Linked DNA regions of Saccharomyces cerevisiae S288C. Changing the gene in region 2 together with the main gene of any one other region gives a genetic interaction. Each region holds a gene or a part of one and is shown on either strand. Other genes may lie near its edges.

Region 1 (7,085 bases), on a different chromosome or scaffold from region 2:
TCCCAATACTGCTTTTTTTTTGACTAGGACTTGGATTTGGTTGCTGGTGCGTTAGAATTGTTGTCTGTCCTGTTATATTTATACCGGTGAATGAAATCATAATCCCAGCTCTGTCTTTACTTCTCATCGTCCTTTAACTTTGGAGGTGTTACTGTCGTACGTTCCTTCTAGGTTTTGCACGCACTATCTGAGGCGTTATAGGTTCAATTTGGTAATTAAAGATAGAGTTGTAAGATGGTGGATAAAAATAGGACGTTGCATGAATTATCTTCCAAAAATTTCAGCAGAACGCCGAATGGACTGATCTTTACCAATGATTTAAAGACAGTATATTCCATTTTTCTAATTTGTTTGGATTTGAAAGAGAAAAAACATAGTAGTGACACTAAGTCTTTCTTATTAACTGCATTCACTAAACATTTCCACTTCACTTTTACATATCAGGAAGCTATTAAAGCAATGGGACAATTGGAACTAAAAGTGGATATGAACACAACTTGTATTAACGTTTCATATAATATTAAACCTAGTTTGGCGCGCCACCTTCTTACATTATTTATGTCTTCTAAGCTACTACATACACCGCAGGACAGAACTCGTGGCGAGCCAAAAGAGAAAGTTCTTTTCCAACCAACACCTAAGGGAGTTGCTGTTTTACAAAAGTATGTTAGAGATATTGGGTTGAAAACAATGCCTGATATTCTTTTGTCATCGTTTAACTCCATGAAACTTTTCACTTTTGAGAGAAGCTCTGTCACGGATTCAATCATCCATAGTGATTATTTGATCCATATTCTTTTCATTAAAATGATGGGCGCTAAGCCAAATGTTTGGTCTCCAACAAACGCAGATGACCCATTACCTTGCCTATCTTCGTTGTTGGAATACACTAATAATGATGATACATTTACTTTTGAGAAATCTAAGCCAGAACAAGGATGGCAAGCTCAGATTGGAAACATCGATATAAATGACTTAGAAAGGGTATCGCCATTAGCTCATCGATTCTTTACAAATCCAGATTCTGAGTCGCACACGCAATACTACGTTTCGAATGCAGGTATTAGGTTGTTTGAAAATAAGACGTTTGGCACTTCCAAAAAAATCGTGATTAAGTACACCTTTACAACAAAGGCTATATGGCAGTGGATAATGGACTGTACTGATATTATGCATGTTAAAGAAGCGGTCTCGTTGGCAGCGTTATTTTTAAAAACGGGGTTGATTGTACCAGTTCTTTTACAACCATCACGCACTGACAAGAAAAAGTTTCAAATTAGCAGGTCCTCTTTTTTTACCTTGTCCAAGCGTGGTTGGGATTTGGTTTCTTGGACAGGTTGTAAGAGCAATAATATTAGAGCACCAAATGGTAGCACCATAGACCTAGATTTCACATTAAGGGGTCATATGACTGTTCGTGATGAAAAAAAGACATTGGATGATAGTGAAGGTTTTTCTCAAGACATGCTTATCTCTTCGAGTAATTTAAATAAACTGGACTATGTGCTAACTGATCCAGGTATGAGATATTTATTCAGGCGCCATTTAGAAAAGGAACTTTGTGTAGAAAATTTGGATGTCTTCATTGAGATTAAGAGGTTTTTGAAGAAAATGACAATTCTGAAAAAATTGATAGATTCTAAGCATTGTGATAAAAAATCTAATACCAGTACTTCAAAAAACAATATCGTAAAAACGATTGATTCAGCTTTAATGAAACAGGCCAATGAGTGCCTTGAAATGGCATATCACATTTATTCGTCCTATATCATGATAGGATCACCATATCAATTAAATATCCATCATAACTTGCGTCAGAATATTTCTGACATCATGTTGCACCCTCATTCTCCATTATCGGAACACTTTCCTACTAATCTATACGATCCATCACCTGCATCCGCGGAATCAGCAGCTTCATCAATTAGCTCAACGGAGGCTGACACGTTAGGTGAACCACCTGAAGTGAGTCTAAAACCTTCAAAAAATCTTTCAAATGAAAACTGTTCATTTAAGAAGCAAGGATTCAAACATCAGTTAAAGGAATATAAACCTGCCCCGTTAACTCTGGCAGAAACGCATTCGCCTAATGCATCAGTAGAAAATTCACATACAATTGTTCGTTATGGCATGGACAACACCCAAAATGATACCAAATCGGTTGAATCATTTCCAGCAACTTTGAAGGTCCTCAGGAAATTATATCCCCTCTTCGAGATCGTTAGCAATGAAATGTATAGACTGATGAATAACGATTCCTTTCAAAAATTTACCCAGTCAGACGTATACAAAGATGCTAGCGCTTTAATAGAAATCCAAGAAAAGTGCTAATTTCATTGAGAGTCTTACTCATCTTCAGGTACAATTGCACAAACAGTCCTTTTTTTTTTCTTTAGTTCTCCTAACCTAATATGTCTTGATACCCATAAGGACTGTAAATACTATTACGTATAAATTAAGCGGAGGTGTGATTTGTTATATCAACTATAATATGATTAAATAAAGCCATTTATTATCTAGTATAATTTCCAATCCTGAGATGTGACTAACGTGAGCGCTTACGAATCTTCGCATCATACACCTGTGGCCAAGGCTGGTTGGCGGTTTAAGTCCGTCTGAAAACTTTTTTTTACGTCATTTGAAGATCAAAAGTATTGAACATATACCTAATGACACAGTTTTTTACACTTTTTTTGAGTTAAATTATTCAAGGACAAAAAATAGTGTGCGTAAATGGAAGAAATATAAACGTATATAGAAAATCATTTACCTCTCCTGTAGCACCGCAGTCATTACATAACATTTTTTCGAGGGTAAGTAAACATTACGCAAAAAAAGAAAAGGACTTTAAACCTTGGGATTGAACGCAAATTCATTCATTAAAATATCAACATCCCTCCAAACCATATCAGATTCCCAGTTATCCCAACCTGCCATGATGGAATTGGGTGATTCTTTGATTGTAGTTGTAACGGGGTTTGATTGAACAATGGGATACGTTTCTAATAGAGAAGAGTTGGCTTGTGTCGCAGGTAGTGTGTTTTCTTGCATTTGTGTTATTGAAAGAGGCGGTTGATTTGCCGGATGTTCAGCATTCCTCCCTATTGGCAGAGGTTCATTGACAGCTTCAGTGTCCTTGATGTCTGTAGAAACACTGGAATCTAAATTTGCATGATTCAGTTGTTCCCTAGGTGACATTTTATTGAGGATTCCTCTATATGATATAGTGTTCGCTACTTGACTATTTGGGGTCGTTAATGAGCTTCCACTGCTGGTAGAGCCTGCATTTATTGGATTTGGGTCTAGCGGAATTGTTTCAATTATTTTTCTTGCTTTCTTTTCTGGATGCCTTACATTGGTGAATTTCCTTGTCCTTAGTTGCTGGCTATCCATATTTTCTGGAACTTTACTACTTAGTTCTTCTTCTTCTTCTTCTTCTTCTCCCTCCTCATCTTCATCTTCCTCTTCCTCTTCATCAACATTGTAAGCTGTAGAAACCTTGGTCTCTCTCTCCAATTTGGCCATACCACATTTCTCTTTTAGAATATATAAGCAGTCAAAAAAAACGTTTACTGACATCCTAGATTTTATGGTGATGCCTAAATTGAAATCATTATTTAGTCTACCTCCACCTTCCTTTTGGTCGTTTTTCCAGGCATCATACATATTAGCAAATAAACTCCATATGCTTCGCATTATTCCGGATGATCTGTACGCCATATCATATTTTAAAACTGAGGCATTAAACGTCAATGAAATTGCGTTGTTATAAGCTTTTTTGCCTGAGTTAACATCTAGCATTGAATGAAGTGATGAATGTATGAGTTTACTAATAATACAGGCAGATTGCCATATATTCAAGACAAACAAACCAGGAAAGTACTTAATAATGGTAGGATCATGTTCCCACATACTATTGGCATGTATAAGAAAGTTTACGGCGGCATTATAAACTTTCACCAATCCACGTTTCGTTTCAAAACTTGTATCGAGTTCCATAATGGAATATGATCCCTCATAAATATTACCATTTGATTTTCCAGCACTTTGGGAGGTAACATCAGTGAAGTAATAGGTTAATAAGTGAACCTTGGCCACTAGTAATAAAAATTTTCGGATATCATCTAGGTTATTTTCTTCAAGACTAATCTCCAATTGACTTAGTTGTTGATTAAGAACGTGTAACAAGGGCTGCTTCTCTTCCTGACTTACCATCCCAGTAACACTCGCCGGGGTGGAGTTCATTGTGTTTACGATTTGGTTCTCAAATCTAGCAATTTGAGCCATTTGTCTTAGTTCATTGGGTATATCTACTTGGCTTTTTGAATTTGGTACTCTAATAGAGCTGATTACTAAATAATCAAATGAAACATAAGCTGGGAAACCAAATGATGATGCAACTGTTTGAGATACAACATTGCAGCAAATCCAAGTTCGTATTTGCTCGTTAACTAATTCTGAATTTGCCGAAGCATACTCTTTTGAAAAACCTGCACAATTTAGTCCTACCCGAAGCGCTTGGAACATCGCTGTTCCTATGGTATTCCACGAAGTGTCGGCGCTTAATGAAGAGGTTAAGGGAGGCCAGAACGTGTATAAAAGAAATGCTTGCACGGAATATACAGATGCTACATTTAGAACGGGTTCGTCCTTATCTGATGGAGTATATCGAATTATTGGAGATATTGTGATTTCTGATAAAACTGACTTTACTAGCACTGATAATCGAGTCATTAAGTCTGTAGCCCCAAATTTCCGCCTTAAACCAATGAGCAGGATGACCCAGAATAAGCAAGGAGATAAGTGATAAATTCGCTCTGCTCCTTTCGAAAGGTCAACGACGGGTAAAAATTGATGATATTTTGTCGCAAATTCTTGAAACAGCTCAGCAATATCGCTGCTTGACAAATATACGTCGCCCAGGCTTTTTGGCAAGCACTTAAGTTGATCATCTGTCATAACGTTTGTTGAGTGAACAGGGTCGAAGTTTGTCGACGAGCTTAAGAGCGTTAAAGGAGAAGAATCCGTATGTCTTCTGTTGGTACTGTAAGAAATAGGTTCTCCTCGAAGTGTTTTGTATGATCTCGGTTCTATTTCTGTCGTCTCAAAAGCACTCTTCCTGAGTTGTTTTACTTTTTCTTTTGTGAAATTACTGTTATCCAAAACAATTTCCTGTTCCTCTTCAATTTTCTTCAAAATTTCATCCGAAGTTAAATTTGTCAAAGTTCTGGTGAGTTCCTTGAATCTTTTTTCAATGGCTTCGTTCCTTGCTCTTTTATAAGTTCTTCTGAAATCTCGTTTTAAAATGCATGGGACATTCTTTTTAGCACACTTAGTGCATGGCTCCGGTGCTCTTTCGTGAGCATCACATTTCGACTTCTGCTGACGACATTCCACACAGGCGAATTTCCTTTTCCTAGCATTCATCCCAGTTCTATTCCTAGTTTCACTATGGCTCATTTCACTTCCGGACTGTGAAGTCGCCACAAAATCTGATCTTCCTTCCATAATTGCAAAAAGAATTTGTATTAATGTTACGAAGCGATTTTTACTTGAGGCAGGTTGAAGGTTCCTCAAATTGCCGATAGCCCCTGAAACCTAGTTTTATGACCTTATATATCATGATACTCTTCTATTGTTGTGCTCATTACTTTTCATTTTTTGCTCTGAAAAACTTTGAAAAAGCGCAGTGCTAGGCGATAAATTAGGCGGCACCTCCGATCGAAGAGAGGTTTTACGCAGCGAGTCATTTTGATCAACTTCTTATTACATGCAGATGATTTAGAATAGCTAGACAATACAAAGATATAAAGTATCACCATGTAAACTACAAGAGTTATAATAATGCTGAGGTTTTACAGGGGGGCCCTTTGTTACTTGGTTGTGGCAGTTCATTGGCTTTGTTTGTTTTACGGTTGTGAGTCATATGGCTTTGTACCAGGTGACCGGCAGCAAGTGCGGAGCACAGAGACAGTTCACCAGCCAAGACAGCACACGCGATTATTCTAGCTAATTGCCTAGCATTTGCTCCAGGTTCAGTGGGGTGAGGACCACGAACGCCGAGAAGATCAAGCATGGCGCCCTGAGGCTCCAGAACAGTACCCCCGCCAATCGTACCAACTTCAATAGATGGCATGGAAACAGAGATCCTTAAATCACCATCAACTTCCTTCATCAAAGTTATACAGTTGGAACTTTCGACGTTCTGCGCAGGATCTTGGCCTAATGCCAAGAAAAGTGCAGTGACCAAATTAGCTGCGTGCGCGTTGAAACCACCAACAGATCCAGCCATTGCGGATCCAACCAAGTTCTTGGATATATTTAATTCAACTAAAGCGGAAACATCGCTCTTTAAAACACTTTTTACGACATCACCAGGAATAGTAGCTTCAGCTACGACACTTTTACCACGACCTTCAATCCAATTGATTGCGGCAGGTTTCTTATCAGTACAATAGTTACCAGATACGGAGACAACTTCCATATCTTCCCAACCATATTCTTCTACCATTTGTTTCAAAGAGTATTCGACACCTTTCGATATCATGTTCATACCCATTGCGTCACCGGTAGTTGTCCGAAATCTCATAAAAAGCAAATCGCCTGCTAGACAGGTTTGAATATGTTGCAAACGTGCAAACCTTGATGTAGAATTAAAAGCTTTTTTAATTGAATTTTGTCCCTCTTCCGAGTCTAACCATATCTTGCAGGCACCAGATCTTATTAAAGTAGGGAAACGAACGACTGGGCCTCTAGTCATACCATCTTTGGTTAAAACAGTTGTTGCACCACCACCAGCATTGATGGCTTTGCAACCACGCATAGCTGAAGCCACTAAACAACCTTCCGTGGTTGCCATTGGTATGTGATAAGATGTTCCATCAATAATTAATGGACCAATTACACCAACTGGTATTGGCATATAGCCGATGACATTTTCACAGCAAGCTCCAAAAACGCGATCATAATCATAATTTCTGAAGGGCAATTTTTCGGAAACTAAAATTGGCGATTCAGCCAAAGTTGAAAGTGCCTTTCTCCTAACTAAAACCGCACGAGTTGTGTCCTCTAATTTTTTCTCTAAG
Region 2 (5,558 bases):
TGTTGACGGTTTTAAATTACTCCCAACTGCGCAACAACACCTTATTTTCTTTTTGCCATATTTTAATATTTATTAGCATTTGGGAAATATTTAAAAAAAGAAAAAAATCAGCTTTTTATATATTTCTTTTAATTTAGTAAACCTCATTCTCTTTTCCTACATAAGTAATAAAACGTTGACCACTCTATTTTTAAAGGTACATTCAAATCTTCACAATGACAGATTTCTTTGAGCTCGTTAATGAATATATCGGCAATATCCGGTTTCGAGGGATTATCTCTAGCCCAAGAAGTGTATATGCTCCAGCTTTTCACAAACTCTTTAAATTGATTGAGAGTAATAGCTGCTCTCCAGAGAAACTGACTGTTTTCAGCCGTTACTGTTGATGCATTTGGGTCCGAAGGACTGTAAATTGTGACTTCAATATCTCCAAATCGATCTGACAATAAAGAACGTAGCTTTTCACCACCGTAATTCAACAAAATTTCCCGTTGGTTGTCGTTCAGATATTTACCCATATAATCCTTGCTCCATCCATATTTGTAATATACATTCAAGGCTTCGGGAAAGTCCACAAATTCCGGCTGAATATAAAACCAGAATGCAAAAGTTCCATCACTTCGTAATATAGAGGAAACCTGCTGAAACAGCCTTTCTAAATTGCACCAATGGATGGCTTCTGCTGAAATAACCATATCTACACTTTCTGGTCGAATGCTGGATAAATCTTCACCAGGCGCATTAATAAATCTAATCTTTTTATCTAATCTACGTTCATTTGTTTCTTTCTCAGCAATCGAAAGCATAGCAGAAGAAGGATCAATCCCAATCACTTCCTTAAAATAGGGTTCAACGACAAAAGTTGCTTTTCCTGTGCCACATCCAATATCAACCAAACTTTTGCGTGTGCCTTTGTGAAATTTCATTATCTCATTGACTAAAGATAAAGGGTAAGAGGGACGTACGTTATTATAGTGAGCAGATTCAAAATTTTTGTTTAAATAACTAGTTTTAGGCATTCTGGATTCTTCCATTGACAGAAGACTGGCTTTGAAGATGTACTGAGTGTAAAAGGGTTAACTTGAATTTGCCCCTTTAGTTCGTGCCGTTTGTTTATGTTTATATACGTTCCCTTGGGGCCGCTAATTAGAATGCTAAATATAGATCGTGGAAAACTTTCACTACAAAGCTTCTCGTTGTTGTGTTGGCTGAACATATACTAATGAACTGTTTAAATCAGGATTATGGACCGGTGAGGGAACATAATCATCTCTTCATGCCTGAACCTGTATGCCACGATGATGGAAGGCATACCATTATTCATACTGTACTTGCACCTCTTCTGAACTACGCTAGAATTTATTCTTCAGAAAATACCAGGGATATCCTTATAGATTTTTTTTTTTTGGCATAATCAACTCTCTTGGGTATCTTGCCGCATTCATTTTACATGTAAAGTCCAGCGAGATACCTTGGCAACTAAATTACAAGCAGTCTCTATGAAATTCAATAATGTGCCAAGTTGTTAGGTCAACAATTTCAAAAAGCGTAAGAAGCCGCACAATGGCTTGCATAAGCTATAATAATAATAGTAATCCAATATTTCTTATAATAAATAAACTCAACAGGAATTGTAAAAAAGTATGTATCTATGTGAATAAAGTGAGAGAAAAACAGATCCTCTGAGAGGAATTCTCGTTTTTTTTTTTTGGGGGGGGAGGGGATGTTTACCTTCATTATCATTAGTTCAAGTCGGCAACAGTTTTTGACCAGTTACCATAATTGACTCTACCGTATTGGATATCAGCAATCCATTGAGCAACTTGCTTGGTCAATGCACCACATTGTTCACCAGGCAATAGTGGAACATGAATATCTTCGTTGTTCCAGCCAATTTCCTTGATAGGTGAAACGACAGCAGCAGTACCAGAACCGAAGGCTTCTAATAGTTCACCTTGTTTTGCTCTAGTGGCGACTTCAGTAATAGTGTAATAACGCTCGTTGATGTCCCATTCTTGAGGATCTAGTTTGTCACGAGCCAATGTTAAAACAGAGTCTCTGGTAACACCTTCTAAAATGGTACCATCTAATGGAGCGGTAACCAATTCCTTCTTGCCAGTGACTTTGTTGAGGAAAACGAAGAACACGTTCATAGTACCAACCTCAGTGATGTTCTTTTCTGGGCCGAACAACCATAGATTTTGTTGGTACCCTCTTTTGGCAGCTTGTAGTTGAGGTAAGATGCATGGGGCATAGTTAGCACCCAATTTTTTGTCGCCAACACCACCTGGCCAAGCTCTTGTAGCATAGTCTGTTGCTTCAAGACGTACGGCTTTGAAACCAGTCTTATAATAAGGACCGACTGGAGAAGTAATAACATAAAGAAGAGCCTCGGAGGGAGTGCCAACACCTAAACCCTTGGATGTACCAATCATTGTTGGTCTGATGTATAATGAGTAACCATTACCTTGAGGAACCAAGTGTTTATCTTGTTCGATCAATTTCCCGGTAAGTTTGATCAATTCTTCAGATTCGAAAGTTGGCAAACAAATTCTAGCGGCAGACTTGTTCATACGGGCCATGTTCTTATCCGGACGGAACATGGTGATAGTATTTTGAGGAGTTCTGTAGGCTTTCAAACCTTCAAATAATTCAAATGCATAATGGAATACACAAGCAGATGGGTCAAGAGAAAGATTACCGTAAGGCTTGATGTGTGGAGTGCCCCACCCTTCTTTGGCTGACCAAGGAATGGTCAACATATGATCGGTGAATGTCTGGCCGAACACTAATTCTTCATTTGGTCTTGGCTTGGATGGATTTGGGTTTCTAGTAATTTTTAGTTTGGATGCATCTAATGGGGCACCAGTAGCGAGTGTTCTGATGGAGAATTTCCCCAACTTCAAGGAATGTCTCTGCAACATGTTTTAGTATGCTAAGGTTCTAGCTGATTTTGCGTTTATAGGGTGATTTATTCTAACGAAAACATGTAGTTGTTACCACTAGCTCTCTTTATAGTGCCATTTTTTTCAGATGCTTTTTTTTTTTCAAAGCTTAAAGGCCGGTACCGGCAAACACAATAGAATTTTGAGTCATAAGAAGGCAATATGGATCGGATGGGCCATTAAACAAAAAGAGAGCCAATTCATCAGTAATAATAGCGACAGCCGGTATGAAATCTGCACAAAGTATCAACCGCCTGGCCTCTATCAGTAAGATCATTCAATCAACCGTACACGCGGTACTTATCCAGCGTTAACATTTACGCTTTACAGTTCAGCTAAAAAAGAACACATTATCTAGTTAATGCCTGGGAAGGCCCTGGCAAGATACACTTTATCTAAATTATCTACTGCTCGCAAGGCAATGCTATCAATTTGAGAAGTGCAGAAGGAAATGCCATCAAGCTTGTGGTGCGCATTTCACTTTTAAGGATAATAACAGAATTTAATGGCTTGATATGGACGGGCGGTTTGCGAGCCTTACTATTGATAGGAGTATTCGTCAAGTCCAGGGCGCCAATGTGACTTATCGCGCTGTGGGTGGGTAATTCTACCTCAGTTTGCTTCTCGAGGAGTTTGTAGCATAAATCTCGTTAGAATAGTCAAACATACGGTATCTTTCTTTCTCTTGAAAAATTAGTACAGTCTACAAGTTTTCCTCATTGGCTTTCAGACGAGCATTTGATTGTCAAGTACTTTCCGGACCACCTGCGATAGTTTCCCTTGTCTACTTGAGCAGATATGCTCTTACTGACTAGCAAGAATGATAACAAATTTTATCAGTAAACCCTTTCCTTGCCGTAATTTTTTTTATTTTAGCTTCGTAATTTTTTTTTTCGTATTATTTTTCTTTTTCTTTTTCTTTCTTGATATCATAATCATGGGGAACTTCTCCATATAACAATAGAAGCTAAATAGGTAAATAACCAAGCGTGCACTGATACAAAATAACGAAAAGTGGCACAAAAATGACATTGACTATCAAAATAGGAACCTTAAACGATAGCGATCAATCTGCAGTGCATAATGGTACAGAAAATGGCTCTGATTTTCGAAAGATAACTCCCACAGAGGAAGAGATCTGTGATGACGTAGTTTTGTTATGGAAGGAAGAGCCCGGAACTGAAGACGCTACGATTCAGCATCTTTATGACAGGATTACGGAAAGAAATCAATCGTGGAAATTGAGTGCTTCTCGTTTTCGAAAAATTCTAAATGAGCACCATCTTTATGACACAGATCTAGAGACCGTTTCTCTATATAAAGATAAAATACATTTTCCAAAAGCCCTAGATTCTGATGCTAAGGTCGAAGTGAAATTTATTGATGACGAACATGGAAGGGGCCTTTTCGCTAAAAGAGATTTTTCCAAGGGCCAAATCATCCTGAAAGAAAATAAACCTATCGTATATATTCCACCACTGGACAAGCTTTTTTTAATATCTAATGGAAAGGCATGTGCTCGATGTGGTAAGGCGCTATATGATTTGACCCAGCACAAAATTATGGTCCATTATTTGGATTGTGAAGTTTGCAAAGCTATTTGGTGCAGTGAAAAATGTAAAAAAGCACATGCGTCGTTACATGAGCTTTTATACCACTCATGGAGATCGAATAGAATAGACATTCTTCATGCTGGTAATTGGAAAAGATTTGTTAACTACTGTGAGAAATATTGTTTTACCGCTGCCTTTTCAGTTGGTCTTATATATGGATCCATGCTTTTGGATACTACAGGAGAGGTCAAAGAGCAATGGCAAAAATTGGCAAGCATCTCACAAAGGGAAAGAATTAAATTAAGAGACGCCAGCGGTATCGGCAGTACGTTTAGTTTACTGAATGGTACAACTGTACATACTGAAGAGGAATCTGATAATGGTACCAAAAAGGGCGTTGAGAAGAATATTGATGACGAGACTGTTTGGGAGAAGTGCTACGAATTATTTTGCGGTGCATTTCCAAAAGCTTCTGAAGAAATAGATTTCGAGAAATTTTTGACCATGATCGGGACGTTCAATATCAATCAATATAACGGCCAGGTATATCATTGGATCTCCTTCATAAACCATGATTGTGAACCAAACGCCTATATTGAGCAAGTAGAAGAACATGAGGAACTGAGGTTGCATGCAAGGAAACCAATAAAGAAGGGGGAACAAATACGTATTACGTACGTCAATCCCTTACATGGGGTGAGGTTGAGGCGTAGGGAATTAAGAGTTAACTGGGGCTTCTTATGCCAGTGTGACCGCTGTCAAAATGAACTATCTACATTTGAAAGAGTTCCAAATCTAGAGAAAAAGAATGCGGATGCTAATTTAGGAGTAGAAAAAATAGATTCCAATGATAGTAGTGAAGATGGCTCTAAGAAATCAACTGGTAATCGTAAATCTTCCATGAGAGAGGCCCAGCCAGATTTAAAAGAAATACTGAAGAATGGAAAAGAATTTGAATTAGACATACCAGAAACTGTTGATACACAAGGGAATGTAAGAAAAACCTCAGTCAGATTCGATTCAAACGTTTCGGTCGCAGTGGATGAAAGATAAGAGATAA
Region 3 (5,730 bases), on a different chromosome or scaffold from region 2:
AAAAAAAATTAGATATTCGGAAGACTTGTAATTAAGCATTATCTCGAATAAAGAAAGGTTACACTGAAAGTTTCATACTCGCGGTCACTCTTAATAATAGCTATATTTTCTGATTTTCTCTTAAGATTTTGAAAAGGGCATCTGAACGACTGCCCACTCAGCCATATTCAACAAATCGTCGAGCGCATACCTAGCTGAAAAAGATCCATAAAGTGCATTTTGATACAGTCTCTTTCGTCGAAAAAATAGTGGCTATACTTCTTTTCAAGAATTAGGATGAGCGAATCAGTGAAAGAAAACGTTACTCCGACACGTAACTTCCGTCGTACTCAAGGGCCCCAAAATAATACAAAACCTCACAACGACAGGAAGAATTTCAGAAGAAAGCAAAAGAAAAATAACCTTTCTGCTGAACCCAACCTCACCACTTCAAGCGCAGATGATACTGATGAAGAAAATGAATTATGTGTAATTTGTGCGCGCAAGTTAACATACGTATCTCTAACACCATGCCATCATAAGACATGCCATATCTGTGGTTTCAGACAACGAGCTTTGTACAACAAGAAAAGCTGTTTGATTTGCAGAACGGAGAATGAAGAAGTCATGTTTACCGATCGCATAGATGGTGATATTTCAGATAAATATAACTTTTGCGAAAAAAATGAAAAATATGGAATAAATTTCACTAGCGAAGAGGTTGCTACCGAAACACTAAATCTTTTAAAATTTTTTTGTCCCCTATCGAAGGATGAACAAGTTTGTGACTTTGGTAGTTTCAAGAAATATAATGAACACTTGAAATCTGAACATAACAGAATGATCTGTTTAATATGTGCAACCCATAAGCATGCATTCCCTTGTGAGCTTGAAATATTCACCCAAAATCAATTACGCAACCATCAAACTAAGGGTAATTCAGAAGGATTCAAAGGCCACCCTATGTGTGCCTTCTGTTCCGGAAAACGATTTTATTCAGACGACGAATTGTACATTCACATGAGAAATCAGCATGAAAAGTGCCATATTTGTGATAAGATGAACCCCGCTTCTCCTCAATACTTTAAGGATTATAATCAGCTTTTTGACCACTTTAAACATTCGCATTACGTTTGCACCGTCCAAACTTGCTTAGATAACAAGTTTGTCGTATTTAAAGACGAGTTGGAGTTACAAGCCCACATTTTGCAGGAGCATGGTAATATCCTGAAGGGAAAGCCAAAGTTTTTCCAGTCAGAACTTTCTACTTTTATCTCGGCTCCATCTAGAGTGATCAGGGAAAGAGATGATTACGACCTTCCATCTATATCTTCCCTACCGGGTTCATCATCCGGCTCTAGAACTGATGTGAGATCTGCTAGTTCTCCCGAGGAAAGTAGACTAAGATTGGCAGAAAGAGCAAAATACTATCTGGAAAATTCCAAAGAAGACTTCAATAAGTTTTCTTCTTATAACGAAGATTATTCTAAAGGTCGCTTAAGTGCTGAAAAATTATTGGAATCATATAAATTGTTATTCACAAAACCAAATGCGGATGTATATTTATTGATTCATAACTTAGCTGAAACCTTTCCCAAAAACTCCTCCAAATACAATAATCTGAACGCCATATATGAACAAAGAGAGCAAACCCTTGCACGACAAACTTCACTACCTTCTTTATCTAGTGATTCTTCCCTTTCAATGTCAATAGGCAGGGGCCATTGGGGTGGAACAAACGATGGGGGCAGCGCTGGTGCAGCATTAGGCGTTAGGAATATCAAAAATCTTCCAACCCTGAAAAGTCCTTCAGCGTCGTATGATCCCTTTGCAACCACCGTAAAAAAAAACACTCTGAGACCCGTGCAAAACATTAAAAGAACTACACCTCAATCAGTTAGTTATCGAACTTCCACTAATACAGTCGCCTTCTCTCCAACCTATTTGGAAAGTAAAAAGGGTTCCTCTTCTACTTCTCTAAATAATAGCAAAGATAAATTGAAAAGTCTCAACCTACCTCAACTACCTCCACCAAAGCCAAAGGTGCAAATTCCAGGTCTGAACAGACCCCAAATTGCTGATCCTAAGCAGTGGGGTAAAAAGTCAAGCACACAAGATACTAACGTGCACGATAATTTGAGGGAATTGAACACAACTAGTGGAGGAAATAAAAAGAAAGGCAAACAAAAGCAGCTGTTATTCCACATTGGTGTATAGTTGGAAATATATTTCTAACCTGTAACTGACAATAGCATTAGAGAAATGAAAGTCTTAAATAAAATTCCGATAAAGAAAAACTTATTTAATTAATTAATATAATTACAAGACTAAAAAGCATTATTTCCCCTTCGCGTTTTACTTCTCCTGCTCAGACGTCTGCGTTATTTCTGAAAAAGGCCTGTGGACAATGCTAAAAGAGTAGTCAAATTATTGATTAGTTCCTCTATTGCCGCAGGACCAGAATTTCCTGTGGTTGACAGTGTTGTCTGCACAAGGGGCATTCTGGCCTCTCTTTACACCAGCTCATAAGACAACTCCAACAAAATAGATGTCCACATGGCGCGCAGCTAGGATCACTCATGTTCATGAGACATAGGATGCATTTTCTCGAGGCTTCTGGAATAAATGGCAATTGGTTTTTATCTGACAAATTTATATGAGTCAGCTGCGATTCCTTCGGTATGCCTTCTATAGATTCATGTTCTGAACGCTCCTGTAGACCAACAGACGACCTAGTAATTGAATCATTGGTCCTTTTTCTCCCATAAATCCAGGACCCGAGCGTAGAGGTTAGGACAGGGTACCATTTCATAACATTTTGAGCTAATAGGATATAACCTAATACTTTGTACTTTTGTGAGCCCTCTTCTCTAAAATTGGCCTCATTTTTTGACAATATATGTTTAAAAACATATCTCATACCAAAAATCCTTTTGGAAATACTGTAAAAAGCTCCTTTGAAATAAAAGAGGGTCATGTGTACGTCTAAAATGAAATCTAAAAGGCCCTTACAAAACGCGGCAACACTTTCAGTATCTTCAATTTTACTTTCCTTGTTGTTCTTCATTATTTTCTTGTATAGTTTGGTGATGAAATATGGACATAAAGGATAAGCGAAAGCGAATACAATCATTTTGAGCCGTCCTGCAAGTCTGGTACCCTTCCTATTAGTGTATGTCAAGTCAACATATTCCTCACCTAACGTTCTACCACGTCTTCCTGTAGTAAAGAGCAAATACAGGAGCTTGGCAAATATGGACAGTTCCTTAGGGTAAGAGTTAACAAACAATTGACTCTTTATCAATTTGCACAATTCAGTCACTTTCATAATCAAAAGGCCCTGGATTTGTTCATCTTTTTGATGCGCTTGTACTATACTTGGAGCATCGGCAAATGGAAATCTTAGCTGCGATAGTCGCATAAGTGCTTCCTTTTGCAACTTATTATCATTCTTCATTTTGGTCCTCTATTGTATGACCCCCCACCGATGTAGTAGTGTCTGTTTCTTTCTTCGATGTGTAGTGTGCTTTATTACCACTACCTTATTTTTCTAATGTAAACGGCTAATACCTACTTCGCCCTCTCAGATTATCACGGTGGGTAAAAATTGTGATAAAACCGGCTGATTACTTGCAAGAAGATGCACATATGGACAGCTCATGTAGCTGTTGAGACGTTATCATTGTTAGAACTTTGGCTCCTATAATATTATCAATTCACGTTTTGCTGCTTATTCCTCCGAACGACTTTTAGCATTGGGTTACTCTGATCACAAACATCCGTACCCTACACTCCGGGTGATAAAGCCAGCCCATTGTTTCGTACTTTCTTATTACACCCTCATATTGAACGATCTATAAAACGAAGTAATGTACAGACACAAGTGCAAGCGAGGAATATATACGGTCGATTAGTAGATTACAAACCACGAAGTAGAATATATCATTTCCGTTTCGTCTAGATAAAAAAACACTTCTTTGTTCAGAGTAGCTAATTGATGGTGAACGAATTAGAGAATGTGCCACGGGCGTCGACCTTGACGAATGAAGAGCAAACGGTTGATCCTAGCAATAACGACTCACAGGAAGATATTAGTCTGGGTGATTCTAACGAAATTACTTCGTTGGCATCATTAAAGGCTATCCGATCAGGAAATGAAGAGGAAAGCGGGAACGAGCAGGTGAATCATAATGATGAGGCCGAAGAAGATCCTCTGTTAACTCGCTACCATACCGCTTGCCAAAGAGGTGATCTAGCGACTGTCAAAGAAATGATACATGGAAAGTTGCTCGAAGTTAATAACGACGGTGACTCTACGGAACATATCACTGGTTTGCATTGGGCAAGTATTAATAACAGACTTTCTGTAGTGGATTTTCTAGTTTCACAAGGCGCTGATGTCAATGCAAGGGCTGGTGCTTTGCATGCCACACCATTACATTGGGCTGCAAGGTATGGGTACGTGTACATTGTCGATTTTTTGCTTAAGCATGGAGCTGATCCCACCATGACCGATGACCAAGGTTTCAATCTACTACACTTATCTGTGAACAGCTCAAATATAATGCTAGTTCTATACGTTTTATTCAACGTTGTCAGCAAAGGTCTTTTAGATATAGATTGCCGAGACCCAAAGGGCAGAACTTCACTACTATGGGCTGCTTACCAGGGAGATTCCCTAACTGTAGCAGAATTGTTGAAATTTGGTGCCAGCATAAAGATCGCAGATACAGAAGGATTCACCCCACTGCACTGGGGCACTGTAAAAGGGCAACCACATGTACTAAAATACTTGATTCAAGATGGTGCAGATTTTTTCCAAAAAACGGATACCGGAAAAGATTGCTTTGCTATTGCTCAAGAAATGAACACTGTGTACTCACTTAGAGAGGCTCTAACACATTCTGGATTCGACTACCATGGTTATCCCATTAAAAAATGGTTCAAAAAAAGTCAACATGCTAAGCTCGTTACATTCATAACGCCATTTCTATTTCTAGGAATCGCATTTGCTCTTTTCTCTCATATTAACCCTTTGTTTGTAATCATTGTCCTTTTTTTATTGGCCATTGCCACTAACAAAGGCTTGAACAAATTCGTTCTGCCGTCATATGGACGAATGGGTGTCCACAACGTTACCTTGTTAAGGTCACCTTTGTTATCCGGTGTTTTTTTTGGCACTTTACTTTGGGTGACTATCGTTTGGTTTTTCAAAGTTATGCCTCGAACATTTTCTGATGAACAATATACTAACATCCTAATGCTGGTAATACTTGTTTCTGTATTTTACCTTTTTGGGCAGCTTGTTATTATGGACCCAGGATGTTTGCCAGAAGAAACTGATCATGAGAACGTGCGACAAACAATCTCGAACTTGCTCGAAATCGGTAAATTTGATACGAAGAACTTTTGTATCGAAACTTGGATTAGAAAACCTCTAAGAAGCAAATTTTCGCCCTTAAACAATGCTGTGGTTGCAAGATTTGATCATTACTGCCCTTGGATCTTTAATGATGTCGGACTCAAAAATCACAAAGCATTTATATTTTTTATTACATTAATGGAAAGTGGTATTTTCACATTTCTTGCACTTTGCCTGGAATATTTTGATGAACTTGAAGATGCACACGAAGATACATCCCAGAAAAATGGCAAATGTTTCATCCTAGGCGCTTCAGATCTCTGTTCGGGATTAATATATGATAGATTTGTCTTTCTGATATTATTATGGGCTTTACTCCAATCTATTTG
Region 4 (6,745 bases), on a different chromosome or scaffold from region 2:
GTATCAATTGCGTGGAAGTCTTTCCCAAAAAGATCCAATAGGCTCAATAAATACATTTATTGATGCTTTGAAACTTAAAAAGGTAAAAAGTCACACGTACAAAAAAAGCGGCTTAAACCAGTTAGGCCTTCATAAATGGCTTCCTGACATTCCATTATTTGAATTGCAAAAGGGTTCATTTATTGCTTTGAACGGTAGATTTATTCATCTTGATCAAAATGAAGTGCCAGAAACAGAACATTTCGAAGCAATCATAAAGAGAGAAGCTCTAAGAACGATCGATTCAGTTTTCGCCCTAGATTTACTTTTTCCAGGTTTCTCACAGGAAATAATCAATCCTGATTTGATAGAAATGATCTCCTCCATTTTAACTAGGTTGTTTTACCAAGGTACACATATATACAATAATGGTATTGATTATACCACTGAAAGTAGCTTACCAAGAATGGATTTGAGCGAGTTTTTTAGACCTAATAATTTAACGATGTTTGAAGATGGAAAATCAGCTTCTATTGATTTACTACTAATTTTAGATCCACTTGAAGAGAGAACGCAAATGATTCTTTCTCTTGTTGAGCAATTCAGGCCTTTGAAATTTGTTAATATTCAGGTAATTTTAATGCCGACACTGGAATTAAACATTGTCCCTATTAGAAGAATATACGTTGATGACGCAGATATTGTCAAATCAATAACTTCTGAGGATAGCAGATCAGATCCAGAAGTAGATATTGAAATGGATGTTCCTAATTCTTTCATTGTAGATAATAATTATCGGATAAAAAAATTGCTCATAGAATTACATTCCTTCTCTAGCAAAACAGTCCTTTCAACTGGCAATATTGATGGTATGGGGGGTGTATGCCTAGCACTTGTCGATTCTGCAGGGAACATTATTGACAAAACTACAACAATGAAAACCTTTGGCTATGGACAATTTCATACCGACAAATTTTTAAAGGGTTGCTATATAAAAAGTTGTGATTCAAGATATACCGTTCAGTCATTTTCTACTGACGGGCATCCCGACTTTATACCATCAGATTCCTTGGATATACTGTCGTACAATCCACAAAAAATCGCTGTAAAAATTTCAGAAGAGCCTACACACGAGGAAGAATACGAGGAAGGTCGCAACAATGATACAATAATCAATATTTTTACTATTTTAGAGTCCGGGCCAGATGAGGAAGAGAGGTACATGCAAATGATTTTATCCATTTTGTCAAAGTGTCCCGAAACGCAAAAGGTGAATTTTTTCATTTTAGATCAGCCGTTTATCTCCGACACTTTAAGGAAATCATGTGAGTATATAAATTCCTCTGATGAAATGAGAGGCAATGTCATTTTTTTGAATTATGAATGGCCTCAATGGTTAAGACCGCAAAGATTTTCTTCAAGGAGAAGGGATGTCTCTAGATTTCTGTTCTTGGATGTCCTTTTACCTCAAAACATCTCCAAAGTGTTATATATGAGTCCAACTGAAGTACCGCTGGATCCTTTTGACATTTTTCAATTTCAAGGCCTCAAACGTGCACCTCTAGGACTATTCCGAATGAGTGGTGATGGTTATTGGAAAGAAGGATACTGGGAAAAAATGTTAAGGGAGAATAATTTAGAATTTTATTCTACCGAACCGGCCTTTTTAGTAAACTTAGAGAGGTTTCGGGAGTTAGATGCTGGTGATAAATACAGGATTCACTATCAACGTATTTCTACAGACGCCATGTCTCTTGTCAATATCGGCCAAGATCTAGTTAACAACCTACAACTCGAGGTTCCGATTAGGTTTCTCAAGGGATCGTATAAGAAGAAATTAGTTATTAATGATGAATGTGTTTCTGAATGGAAGAAAAAAATAAATAAGTTCGCATCCTCTCCTGGCGATGAAGACGTACCTGGAGAAAGTGTTAGCAGCAAATACCAAGATTCCGACAATGCCGCTCCTCTGCATGACGAATTATAACTACTCGCAGGAAGAGTTCATTACGCGACGGTTCCAAGAGCGTGAAAGAATTGCTTCTGCGCATAAGTCTTCTTCCATAATAGATTTTTATATCATTTTTAGAACATAAAATTTCTCGCCAAGAGTTTTTTAAGTAAAAGCAGATTATCCAGTAACATGGGTTCCGCTTTTTGAGCGAATACTATGAACGAGTTTTGCCCGTGCTCCCCATGACTCATTAGATTCTTTGATGACAAAAGATCACTGGCAGAAGTCTGTTTCGCTTCTTTTCTTTTTTTTTTTTTTTTTTTTTTTTTTCGAGCAGATTGCAATCAGCGATGAGACAAAAATGGAAAGTAGGTATGGGCTGACGATTGCCTAAACGGTTATCAATTGGTTACTATAAACGCCTCTATTATATGAATATACCTATTTATTGAATCCCTTCATTAATATTTAAGAAGACAGAGGCTATATATCATCTGGATCAAAAAATGACAGCGCCATTGTGGCCAAACAAGAATGAAAAAAACCACACAGTTAAAAGAGCGTTATCAACGGATATGACCAGCAATATTTTGAGTAGCACAAACGCGAGCTCAAACGAAGAAAATTCTAGGAGTTCTTCTGCAGCCAATGTACGCTCCGGAACAGGTGCAAATACACTTACTAATGGCGGCAGTACTAGAAAGAGACTTGCGTGCACTAATTGTAGAAATAGAAGGAAAAAATGTGATTTAGGATTTCCCTGTGGTAACTGTTCCAGGTTGGAATTGGTTTGTAATGTTAATGACGAGGACTTAAGAAAGAAGCGGTACACTAATAAATATGTCAAGTCTTTGGAGAGCCATATTGCTCAACTGGAGACCAACTTAAAAAACCTAGTTCAGAAGATCTACCCTGACGATGAGCAAATACTGAACCGAATGATGGTAGGTGATGTATTATCAGCTCTACCAGACAGTTCACAAGTCTCAATCAATTATACTGACCAAACTCCCTCTCTTCCAATTCCCGCAACCAGAGGTACATTCATTATTGAAAACGATAAGGTCAGTCAACCTCTATCGTCCTTTAACCAACAAACAGAGCCATCTACTCTAAACTCGGGTATCTTCAACACCCAAAAACAAAATTTCGAAGAATCCCTTGATGATCAGTTACTTTTACGAAGATCGTTAACACCGCAAGGTGAAAAAAAGAAGAAACCGTTGGTAAAAGGTAGTCTTTATCCTGAAGGACCTGTCAGTTACAAACGGAAGCACCCCGTAAAATCGGACAGTTTATTGCCTGTGTCTTCGTTAACAGCTGCTACAGACCCATCTACTTTTTCTGACGGTATAACTGCTGGTAATTCCGTCCTAGTTAATGGTGAACTGAAAAAACGTATATCCGACTTGAAGACCACCGTAATAGTAAGAGGACTAAACGATGATAATCCCAACTCTATCAATAACGATCCCAGGATTTTAAAATCTCTTTCCAATTTCTATAAGTGGCTGTATCCAGGTTATTTTATTTTTGTTCACAGAGAAAGTTTTCTTTATGGATTCTTCAATCACTCCAAGAATAACTATGAAGACTCAAGTTACTGTTCTGTCGAATTGATATATGCCATGTGCGCTGTCGGTTCGAGGCTTACACCGGATCTACAAGAATATTCAGAAGTGTATTATCAACGAAGTAAGAAGACTTTATTACAGCTCGTCTTTGATGAGCAAAGTACAGCCCGTATCACCACCGTCCAAGCGCTATTTTGCTTAGCCTTTTACGAACTGGGGAAGGGTAATAATCAATTAGGGTGGTACTTCTCGGGCCTGGCTATCAGGGTCGGCTACGACATGGGATTTCAACTGGACCCTAAAGTCTGGTACGTTGATGATAACAATCTGCAGCTGACCCAAAGTGAGTTGGAAATAAGATCAAGGATTTACTGGGGTTGCTATATAGCGGATCATTTTATTTGCCTGATGTTGGGTAGAACGTCCACATTAAGCGTTAGTAACTCAACCATGCCAGAGTCGGATGAGCTGCCAGAAGTCAACGGCACCGAAGAGTTCAGATTTATTGGAAGACATGTTTTACAGATATCCTTGCCTCTGAAAAACTTGATAATTCTATCAAGGCTTGTACAAATCTTCACCTCTAAAATTTTCATCGAGTCGGAAGATATAGCACGAAAACTAAAGTACTTGAACACTTTCAATTCTCAGGTTTACAACTGGAGACAATCTCTACCGGAATTTTTGCAATGGTCGAAAACACTCATCGAGAACGATGACGTATCCACAGACCCCACTATATCTTACTTCTGGTATTGCTACTACATAGTGCGGCTCACCTTTAACAAGCCATTTATAGAAGACTCTCAAGAATCCGAAACGGTAGTCATAGAGATCATCGATGATTTGAAGACTTTGCTGGACAATTTCGGGAAAAAATTCGGAAACTACACGAAGGGAAACCTTTACCAACTTTACTCATGCCTGTTGGCCATCAACTGTTTGAAGAAGTTGAAAGAGATACGTTCCAGTGAGCAAGACTCATGGAATGCACAATTGGATTTTTTCAATCACATCTTCTACACACAACTATATCCCGCATATGATCTGCCGAAAAAGCTGCAGGAGGATACGGAGCTGGAAACAGAACAAGAAAACCAGATGTTGAACCAAGTTGGAAATATAAACTACACGCACGATTTTTCACTCTCCCACGAAATTGACGATCTTATCAGAGAACTGTTTGGGGTGGGCACACCTCAAAAACTCTGACGATCTTTATATTTGTCACCTTTTCCGTATCGGCGGCTAAAAGGCGATGCGGTGCACAGGCGCGGGGTCCCTGGGAAAAAGAAATGTTCAAATTAACATTTCTTTTTCTTGTTTTGTGGCTCTTCTAGAAGGATTTTTAATCAGCATAGCCTGCGTTAAAATTTTTTACCGGATCTTATATATCTAAGACATCTACTCTGTTTAAATACTTAACGAACATCATAGAGAATCAACTAATAATATAGATTAGAAAAGAGAATTTTTTTCGACTGCGATGCTAGATAACATGCAATTTCATTCTCCAGCACCGGAACATCCTCAATTGAATGGGGGTATTAACAAAATTCCCGCTTCCCACAAAATAGGTTACAAATTAAACCAGCAAGTGCAGAGATTGGCTGTGGTCAGGAATAATATTGAAGAGAGATTGAACTCGATGGAATCCTCACACGGACAGATATCCGATAGTAGCGTTGTCCGTGCTATCGATGCAAGTATCGATGACTTCCTAATACCTTCACCTCCATTATCGCCAAAGCTGAGGCAATGCCCCATAATAAGCCAGCCTCAGCTGGTTAATGTGGAAAGCGACCATAGGGAGCTGATCATGTTGACCCCCGTTTGGGAAGCGGGCTTGAACTCTCAGAAGTACAACCATAATACAAGGAATTTCTTATCGCAATATAGCTTCTTCCGAGATATGAAAACAACGAAAAGGATTCCTAACAAAGAAAATAGGAAATTGAAAGTGGTAAAATCTGTTGTGAACTCAGAAGCTCTGCCCAAGAGAAGAAGATACGATAGGAAAATTAAGAGAAGATCAAGGGAGTTGTACGAAGATGATGGAAACAGGTCAGAAAACTATGATGAAGAAAGTGCTCAAGAAGTTCCAGTTAGATCAGTGACTCCGATACGTCAAGTTAAAAGGTCTCTTCATACTATTTCTTCGCCATTGGCCTCACAGGGCGTAGTGAATAATGTCCCCAAGTATATTCCAAGCATGTCGTGGGAAAAGTTGCCGGATTACTCACCTCCTCTTCACACTTTGCCGAATAGTAATAATAAAGTTTTAAAAGTGGAATGGAAAGGCTCTCCAATGGACTTGAATCATGATCCTCTCAAACAGCGTCTGCATCCTGCAGAACTAGTTCTCGCACAGATTCTGAGACTTCCATGTGATCTTTATTTGGACTCTAAAAGAAGATTTTTCTTGGAAAAAGTTCATAGATTCAAAAAGGGGTTGCCGTTCAGGAGAACGGATGCTCAAAAGGCTTGTAGAATAGACGTTAATAAAGCATCAAGGCTATTTGCAGCATTTGAAAAGGTAGGTTGGTTACAAGATAAACATTTTGAAAAGTATTTGTAAGAAAGAGGCGGTACGCCTTTGGGATAGCGTATCGTTTCATCGTTTAAACGAGCAAATTTGATAAGTACGGAATATGACAGTCTCATTGAGTAATACAGAATTGAGGCGTTTAAATGGTTATGGTTAAGGGTTACGGTTACGGTTTTTTATTCTTAGAACACATTTGATATATTTTTATTTATGGTTTTTTACATATAGATTTCGTTCATATATGAGGTTTTCTTTTTATATTAATTATATTTCTTCGGTTGTTACGTTATCAATTTTGTTATTGAATTATTACGGGTTATGAACGCCGTAGAAAAATAGCATTGGAGTTTGAGAGTCTGTGGCTTTTCTGTCACATCATTTTTTCGTCTAACTTAGGTTAACTCAGTAATCGTCGATTTCTTCATAACAGGCCAGGACCTTTTTTCTGTATTCCTCCATATCTGCATCCCAAAGTTCTGCTGCCACAGCGTTCAGCGGAGATCTGTTATTTGGTTCGCCAAGTAATGACTGCAATGACAATAGAATTGTTTCTACATTATACACTGCAGACCATTTCTCTTTCAGAATGTCCAAACAAATGTTGCCACTCTTATCCACGTTTGGATGCCACATTGGACTCAAAAATTTAATCATTGGCGGATGGAAAGGATAGTTTTGAGGAAACTTCAA

Evidence for each region.
Region 1: mutations in BAT1 (region 2) and LEU3 together harm fitness more than expected from each alone (negative genetic interaction), as found in Saccharomyces cerevisiae (2 studies listed by BioGRID).
Region 3: mutations in BAT1 (region 2) and PEX10 together harm fitness less than expected from each alone (positive genetic interaction), as found in Saccharomyces cerevisiae (2 studies listed by BioGRID).
Region 4: mutations in BAT1 (region 2) and TEA1 together harm fitness more than expected from each alone (negative genetic interaction), as found in Saccharomyces cerevisiae (2 studies listed by BioGRID).

Annotation. Positions count from the first base shown.
Region 1 is NC_001144.5:1,034,516-1,041,600, reverse strand, and holds LEU3 (leucine-responsive transcriptional regulator LEU3), read right to left. Parts: upstream 5,509-7,085; coding exon 2,848-5,508; downstream 1-2,847. Other genes in the region: GTPase-activating protein SST2, read left to right, coding at 235-2,331; hydroxymethylglutaryl-CoA reductase (NADPH) HMG2, read right to left, coding at 5,837-7,085. UniProt on the Saccharomyces cerevisiae protein: Factor for control of RNA levels of a group of leucine-specific genes.
Region 2 is NC_001140.6:514,898-520,455, reverse strand, and holds BAT1 (branched-chain-amino-acid transaminase BAT1), read right to left. Parts: upstream 2,925-5,558; coding exon 1,743-2,924; downstream 1-1,742. Other genes in the region: CRG1 (S-adenosylmethionine-dependent methyltransferase), read right to left, coding at 144-1,019; SET5 (S-adenosylmethionine-dependent methyltransferase), read left to right, coding at 3,971-5,551. UniProt on the Saccharomyces cerevisiae protein: Mitochondrial isozyme of branched-chain-amino-acid aminotransferase, involved in the biosynthesis of the branched chain amino acids (BCAAs) leucine, isoleucine, and valine.
Region 3 is NC_001136.10:996,570-1,002,299, reverse strand, and holds PEX10 (ubiquitin-protein ligase peroxin 10), read right to left. Parts: upstream 3,437-5,730; coding exon 2,423-3,436; downstream 1-2,422. Other genes in the region: E3 ubiquitin-protein ligase HEL2, read left to right, coding at 277-2,196; palmitoyltransferase AKR1, read left to right, coding at 3,977-5,730. UniProt on the Saccharomyces cerevisiae protein: E3 ubiquitin-protein ligase component of a retrotranslocation channel required for peroxisome organization by mediating export of the PEX5 receptor from peroxisomes to the cytosol, thereby promoting PEX5 recycling.
Region 4 is NC_001147.6:951,905-958,649, forward strand, and holds TEA1 (Tea1p), read left to right. Parts: upstream 1-2,439; coding exon 2,440-4,719; downstream 4,720-6,745. Other genes in the region: KRE5 (Kre5p), read left to right, coding at 1-1,966; YOR338W (uncharacterized protein), read left to right, coding at 4,994-6,085; putative E2 ubiquitin-protein ligase UBC11, read right to left, coding at 6,458-6,745. UniProt on the Saccharomyces cerevisiae protein: TY1 element enhancer binding protein. Binds to the DNA sequence 5'-TCGGTGGTATTATTCCGA-3'.